2 linked regions of the Mus musculus genome follow. The protein of the gene in region 1 purifies or fractionates together with the protein of each later gene. This does not show direct contact. Links are inferred from orthologs where the notes say so. Each region holds a gene or a part of one and is shown on either strand. Other genes may lie near its edges.

Region 1 (3,910 bases):
TGACCTGTCACCTACCTGGCACAAGAAAAATGAAACACAGTAATACATTTTATGCCAATACAGAAGAAACAAAATCAATAAACTATGCCACATAAAAGTCACCTGACTTCAATCTGAAACCATTCACCTCTGCAACTTTTGGAGAGCAGTTTCACAGGCCAAGATGACCTGTTCCGGTCTTGTCCCTGGGACCACAGGCCTCCAGATGTTCTCAATGGTCATGAGTCAAGCCAGACACTTCCAGAAGAGACAGGGTGGAGGAGCAAACAAGAAGCAGGACAGGACATCTGAGGAGCGCCTGCTAGTGAGGAGTGTGGGTGGAGTGAACAGACGTCTTTAAAAGAAAGTGAAAGCCCATGGTTTATTAGACACTGAACGAGTTGCTTTGAGTCTAATATAAAATGCTAATGTCAAATCTCTAAGAATAAATCCCACAGTCTTCACGCTCTCCTACTTCCCTGTCTACCTACAATGATGGCACATTTAAACTGTGATCAGGGGAAAGAAGGCAGCAGACTGAAGCTTTGAGGATAAGGAACAGTTTTATGGAAAGCTGGGCTTTGATTGCAATGCTTGCCAATAATTTCAGAATTTGGGAAGTAGAAGCAGCAGGATCAAGAATTCAAGGCCAAAGTTGGGCACAGCAGTTTATGCCTTTAACCCCGGAGGTCAGCCTGGTGCACAAAACCAGGGCTGTTCTACAGAAAAATCCTGTCTCAGAAACAAACAGTTCAATGCCAGCCTCAGCTATATAGGGAGTTTGAGGCCAATCTGAGGTACATGAAATTCTGTTTCAAAAAACAAAAATAAACTGTAAGTGGGTGGATGAGACTGCTTAGCAGGTAAAGCCATTCGCTGTCAAGCCTGATGGCCATCCCTGGGACTCACGTGGTAAAAAGAACCAACTCTGCTAAGTTGTCCTCTAACCTCCACACGTGCAGGAGCACGAACAGGCAGGCCTATGCTCACCACACACACACACACACACACACACACACACACACACACACACACACACACAGTGTGTGTTTGAAATCCCAGGACTTGGCTGGATGGGACAACATCAAAAAACAAAGTCTGGAGAAGTGACTTTAAAGAGCAGTGTGGGAAGAGAAAACACTACTCAGTTAAAAAAAGAAAACCGCCACTACTGTAGCGCTTCAGGAGACCCCATGACAAATAAGTTCCTCTTGCTCAACAACAAGAGGTGGAGATCCAGGGCTGACCGACGTCTACCTGGCCAGAGATTGGACTGGACAGACTAGCACACCTACGACCACAAACAGGGTATCCAGAGCACTCGGTGCTCCATCCCGTCCTGAGTCCAGTCCAGCATGGGCCCCCGGAGACTGATAACCCTGCATGGTTCTCCTTCCACCTTATACGGGTGCCAGGGAGATAGATGAAAGACCCTTTATATTGCATGGGCTCCCACATTAGTGTCTGGGACCTGATTTACCCCACAGGGCCTCAAGATCAACTGCCATGCCCCCCTATCTCTCTCCTTTCACAAAAATGGACCTCACCTCACCCCGTGGTACCAACTCCTAGCGGAATCCCGGGGTCGCTGCCTAGTGTCTACAGTCCTTTTTCTTCACTCCGTACAGACGCTAGTGAGACATGCATTTAAGATCGTTATACACCCCAGACTCCAAAGACCTGTGGCCGCATCTTCCTTACATGGCTCGATACCTCTGCCCCGGCCTTACCTTCTTACAGACCCTCGAGGCCGGCGTCCACGGTCGTCTCCCCATAGCCTCCCGAGGCTGGCCTCCATGGCCATCTGTGCCCACCGACCCCTGAGGCCGGCGTCATGGCCATCATCCCCATAGCCTCCCAAGGCTAGCGTCCACCGCCGTCTCCCCAACAGATCCCCGAAGCGGGACTCAGCCGCAGTCTCTCCCCAGCCCCGCGTCCGCAGCCGTCTCCCTACGGACACCCCTCCCTCTCTTCAGCCGCTGGCCGGCCGAGGGTCTCCCGGGACAACGCCGGTCAGGCGGGCAAAGGCGGCCGCGTCCGGACCGGCGGCTGAGCGAGCATGACCTTGCGGGGCTCGGGGGTTGGGGTGGGGTGTCGGTCGGGCCTCACCTTCCGCCACGTCCTCGTCGACAGCGCCCTTCACCTGCGAGAAGCACCACTGGAAGTCGTTGCCGCCCGCCGGGCAGCCGCCGCCTCCAGCTCCTGCAACAGAGCGCGCCGTCAGGCCGGCCCCGCCCCGCCCCACCACCGTCCAGTCCGCCCGCCCGCCCCGCTCGCTCGCTCGCGCACGGCCCTCACCTGCCATGGCGCGGGCGGGACGCGCCCAGCCGAGCGCGGCCGACCGAGGCGCTCCGAGCGCTCAGCCCCGGCCGCCACCGCCGCCGCCGCTGCCGCCACCGTCGCCGCCGCCGGGGAGGGAATTTTTTCCCCTTTTCAAAATGGCGCCCAATGCCCGTCGCCCCGCCGGATGACGTCATCCCCCTCCGCCTCCTCCGACGGTCAGTGCCGCGGGGGCTGCCGGGGGCGCACCGTGCGCCGACTGCGTCTGCGCGAGCTGTCTTGAGGTTGGACCTACGTAGCCGCTGCGGTCCAAGGAGAGGAGTGTCTTGGACTAGTCCGCTGGCAGATAGAGGCGGCCTTCTCGAGTCGTGTCAAGGCTAGGACGCGACGCCCTCTACGTTCTTAAGGCCTCAGACTTTCTTCTGCGGCCGGCTGGACTGGATGCTCGAAGGCCTGGGCCTTTCCTACAGCTGAGCCAACGGGAACGCGGAACCTCCGTGGATCTGCCAATAGAGAGCGCTCGGCCGTGGGCAGGCGGGGCCTCTGATCCCCGGAGCACCTGGAACCCAGCACCTGCGTGCGTAATTTTGCCCATCATCCAGGCTCTCTTGCCCCCAGAATCTTTGATCGTAGCTTCTGAGCACTGATCTCATCAGAGTGCTACTTCAGGGATTCTTTGAGCTCTCAGTATAGCCCCTAGGGAACCGTTCTCGACATTTGCTTTATTTGTGGGTGTGTTTTTCTAGCATGAAGAGGAATTATTTGTTCGTGGGCTTGACTTATCCGAAATCACTATGAAGTTGGCAGTGAGCGTACTGCACCACTAGAGGGCAGTTGTTCCAAACCAGAGCATTCTCCACTTCAAAAATGTTTTGCCTTTTAGCAAGTGCTTTTTCTATTCTCAGTCTTGGCTGGGATGCTGCTTGTGTAGAGGTGATGTGTCTGTCCTGGTGGAGTTTACTCTTCAGCGGAGAAGAGACAATAAGAAAAACCTGGGGAAAGTTAAGTGGACTAGAGTTAAATACAACACAGAAGCAGGGGAAGGAGATTGGAGCAGTTGGTATCTTTAGGAGAGCAATTAGAGGAGATAAGAAAGAATCTCAGGCTGACGTCTTGGGCGGCTGCTAGAAATGAGAACAGCTAGTGCACAGGCTGGGCCACCCTGACCTTTTCTTTCCGATGTTTTATTTTTAATTCAATTGCACACACACACTTTGATTAGGGTCTTGCCATGTAACATGAGGCTGGTCTCTAAATTGAAATACGTCTGGTTCCACCTCGTTGGCGCTGGGTTTACAAGCACGGAGCACACCTAAGCTTGCTAATGTGTTTAAAGGGCAGCAAGAAGCTGTGGGGAGAACAGAAGTGGCCAAGGAAGGCTAGTCATAGCAGTGGAGGCAAGGTGGTCCGGGACAGAGCAGGAAGCTGTTTTCAGGGGGTGAACTCTGATGAGAGGGCTGGCTATGGCCAAGAGCTGGAGAAAGTCATGAAGAAATAGGGCCTTCCATCAGTAGCAGCACTCAGGGTTGTTTCTGAAAGAACTGTCTCTGAGTTAAGTAGGAGGATAAAATGAGCTGCATGTGTCTGGGTGTATGAGAGTAATGGAGAAGAATAAGAGACATGGAGTAGTGAGGATATAGGAATGTCACCC
Region 2 (3,810 bases), on another chromosome or scaffold:
TTTCTGTCGGACACAGCTTACAAATCCTACTGAGTGGTTGTGAACTTAAAAAAAGTGAGAGAGCCTGCTTAATCTTTCCATTTTGGTTACAGCATGCTTTTGATGATTGTACTATTTTCTGTTTTTACTATTATGCTAGTATACAGTAAACCTGTATAAATTGTTTTCTAGCTCCAGAAAGCGGTGGGCCCTAAGATTGCACTCAGCGACCTCATCCCCGCCTTCCAGAGCCTCCTCCGAGACTGCGAAGCTGAAGTCCGAGCAGCCGCTGCCCACAAAGTAAGAGGTGAGACTGGCCGTGGGGTCCTTTGACTTTGGTGGTGTCAGCTCGCTATAGTTTGGTTTGGTTAGGACCGAAAACATAAACCAGGGAGAGATGAGTCCACGCAGCAGCATTTCCGCCCACGCTGATGCATTTGTTGTGTTAGGAAGTTTGGCATGGTTTTGATTTATAAGATGCTGCAGACGGATGGCACCAGCATGGCAGGTGGCACCGTCAGACTGTCCCATAGGTTAGGTCAGGAGGGCCTCCAGGCTGTGCTGTGTGGACCAGGCTTACTGCCCCTCCACACTTTATTTGCTCAGACTGACTTAACTTGGACTGTTGGGAAGAGCTGGGTAATTGTCTTTGGCTCCTTGACAGCATTGCCTTTTCTGTTTCTGTTTCAGAGCTTTGTGAGAACCTGCCCGCTGAAGGTAGAGAGACTGTAATTATGAATCAAATCCTGCCCTATATAAAGGTGAATGTGACTTCATTTTATTTTGTTTACTCTACCTACGAAGCTCTTAGCATCTAAAGAAGGAAGAGGCATAAATTAATCAAATACATAATAACATTAGTGCAAATGTTTAGAGTTGATTTGTGCGCGTTGCACTGTAGAGCTTGTGGGCGCATAGCTGTTACTACAGACGGCCAGGTCAGCTGTGCTGTTGGCTGGTGCTGCTGTGGACTCCTCGGGAGGTGCTGTAGAGGCTTTTGTTGTCTTTAATTTTTATTCTCTTTTAGGAATTAGTGTCTGATACCAACCAACATGTCAAGTCAGCGCTAGCTTCTGTAATTATGGGATTATCTACAGTTTTGGGCAAAGAGAATACCATTGAACATCTTCTGCCTCTATTTTTAGCTCAGTTAAAGGACGAGGTGAGTCTGGGTATGAATCCTTTTGCTTTGATATAATTGATTTGATATGATTTTGTTTCTTTTTTTTTCTTTTGGGTTTTCTGAGACAGGATTTCTTTGTGTAGCCCTGGCTGTCCTGGAACTTGTCGCTTTGTAGACCAGGCTGGCCTTGCACTTAGAGATCCATCTGCCTCTCTCTGTCTCCCAAGTGCTGGGACTAAAGGGACTGTAAAGCTTTGGTTTGGTGATTTTACTAAAATAGGACCCAAAGTGTAAAGATGGGGAAAATCATAGTCTAGATATTTGACAGTCCTTCTGTTTGGGTGTAGGGCTACAGGTTTCCCCAAAAATGGGCACAAGGACTAACTAAAAACAAACCAACTGGGTGTGGTGGAGCATGCCTTTAATCCCAGCACTCTGAAGGCTGAGGCAGGGGGATCTCTGAGTTCAAGGCCAGCCTGGTCCATAGGTCAAGTTCCAGGACAGTCAGGGTTACCCAGAGAAACCCTGTCTCTAAAACCAGAATCAACCAAACAACCAAAAAAGAGGAGCTGGAGAGGGAGGGAGCCTCGTAGCAAACAGCACTGGCTCATTCTTGGTTTGGTTCCCAGAACCCACATGGGTTCCTCAACTGTCAGTGGCTCTAGTTCAGGGATCTGATGCCTCTGTGGTCACCCGCAGGCACCAGGCACACAAATAGTGCATAAACATGTTCATGCAAAACAGTCATGAAATAAGTCTTAAAACCATCCAAGAAATGCCTATTAAATGTTTTATATTATAGTCACTGATTCCTTATATTTAAAGCTCATATATCTTTGCTTAAACTGTGTCTTTTTATTTAAGTTTAAAGTGTAGCTTCAGATACTAACATTTAGTGGCTGGAGATTTGGCTCAGCAGTTAGGAGGCCTGTCGCTTGTAGAGGACTAGAGCTCCAGTTCTGGTGGCCATGTTGAGTGGCCCTCAACTGTTCATAACTCCATCTCCAGAGGGTCTGGTCCCTTGCTGGCCTTTGTGGGCACACACACACACACACACACACACACACACACACACACACACACACACACACACACACACGGGCACATGTGCACGTTACACAGACAATACATACATTCGGATAAAAATGTAACAGGTAGTGCCAGGCATGGTCTGAGAGCTTTGGATATGTCATTAACTGTAACTGCTGCAGTGGGCTCTGGGCTTGGTTCCTCCCGGTGTAGAGGAAGGAGAGACCAGGGAGTAAGATGTCTGCGGTCTCCCTGCAGTGGCAGAGCTGAGTCCCAGGGCCTGGGCCCTTTACATCTCATAGACTCTGTGCTTACTTATTAATTAAAAGTCTGAAAATCTTTATTATTATGTGAGCGAGCGTACACTGTGTGCACATACAGAGTTCAGAGGCTGTCTCTGTGGAGTCCGTTCTCTCCATCCACTTTATGTTGGATGTTCTGGGGATAACTCATGTTCTGGGGATCGGATCCTGGCTGCTAGGTTTGTGAGGGAAGCCCCTCTTTCTGCTCAGCCATCTCGCCTGCCAATTTGTTAATTGATTTTTTAACTTAGTGTACAATCTCCCGTAGATGGATGGTACAGGCTTTTTACTGACGTGTGGCTAAGGTCAGTGACATTGTATCTGTGCACTTAGTGTTAAGGATTTCCTTCTGCAGTAGCTTTTCTATAGTTCTGGTGGTTGAGTCCAGGGCTCTGCAGGATGGACGAATGCCTTTCCTACCCAGCCACACCACAGCTTACCCCCACCTTTTAAAGCCTGAGCCTTTTCTTTTCTTTTCTTTTCTTTTCTTTTCTTTTCTTTTCTTTTCTTTTCTTTTTCTTTCCCTTTCCCTTTCCCTTTCCCTTTCCCTTTCCCTTTCCCTTTCCCTTTCCCTTTCCCTTTCCCTTTCCCTTTCCCTTTCCCTTTCCCTTTCCCTTTCCTTTTCCTTTTCCTTTTCCTTTTTTCCTTCCTTCCTTCCTTCCTCTCTTTTTCTTTCTTTCTTGTTTTTTTTGGTTTGTTTGTTTTTGTTTTTTTGTTTTTTTTTAAGATGGGAGTCTATCTGTGTATCCCTGGCTGTCCTGGAACTCACGTTGTAGACCAGGCTGGTCTTGAACTCAAGAGATCTGCCTGCCTCCACTGCCCAAGTGCTGGGTTTAAAGGTGTGCGCCACCACCCAGATTAGTACTTTTTAATTTGAAATTCTACTTAGCACTTTTTATTTTCTCATGCCAGGAGACTACTGGGCAAAAGAGTTAATTTTCACATGTAGTCTCTGGGGCTTGTGTGTTTATAGTGTCCAGAAGTTCGTTTAAATATCATCTCCAATTTGGATTGTGTGAATGAAGTGATTGGAATCCGTCAGCTCTCTCAGTCTCTCCTTCCGGCCATAGTGGAACTGGCTGAAGATGCCAAGTGGAGGGTCCGCCTGGCTATCATTGAGTACATGCCGCTGCTGGCTGGCCAGCTGGTGAGTACCTGGGCTTTGCCATGGTTTGAGGGTGGTTTTGGTTTTCAGTGATCTATTATGGCCTAACAGGAGGGTGGTGCAGAAACACAGTCACCTTGCTGCCTCCTCAGGTTGAAGGTGTAGAATGTGCTTCTGTGATAGCAATGTTGTATTATTTAAACCCTATATAATTTAAGGACTCGTGTATGGAAGGGAAAATACAGTTTCAGGATAAGTCGGTTTGGCTTTTT

What was found.
Region 2: the proteins of Ppp2r2d (region 1) and Ppp2r1b purify together in Homo sapiens (affinity purification with mass spectrometry; 4 studies listed by BioGRID and IntAct, counting the BioPlex papers as one, with this or other methods). This does not show direct contact. The link is inferred for Mus musculus from reciprocal best matches to the Homo sapiens genes PPP2R2D and PPP2R1B.

What each region holds. Positions count from the first base shown.
Region 1 is NC_000073.6:138,844,883-138,848,792, reverse strand, and holds the start of Ppp2r2d (serine/threonine-protein phosphatase 2A 55 kDa regulatory subunit B delta isoform), read right to left. Parts: upstream 2,408-3,910; 5' UTR 2,285-2,407; coding exon 2,278-2,284; intron 2,183-2,277; exon of another isoform or gene 2,182-2,182; coding exon 2,089-2,181; intron 335-2,088; exon of another isoform or gene 128-334; intron 1-127. UniProt on the Homo sapiens protein: Substrate-recognition subunit of protein phosphatase 2A (PP2A) that plays a key role in cell cycle by controlling mitosis entry and exit. Involved in chromosome clustering during late mitosis by mediating dephosphorylation of MKI67.
Region 2 is NC_000075.6:50,866,657-50,870,466, forward strand, and holds part of Ppp2r1b (serine/threonine-protein phosphatase 2A 65 kDa regulatory subunit A beta isoform), read left to right. Parts: intron 1-171; coding exon 172-286; intron 287-669; coding exon 670-740; intron 741-1,006; coding exon 1,007-1,141; intron 1,142-3,406; coding exon 3,407-3,580; intron 3,581-3,810. UniProt on the Homo sapiens protein: The PR65 subunit of protein phosphatase 2A serves as a scaffolding molecule to coordinate the assembly of the catalytic subunit and a variable regulatory B subunit.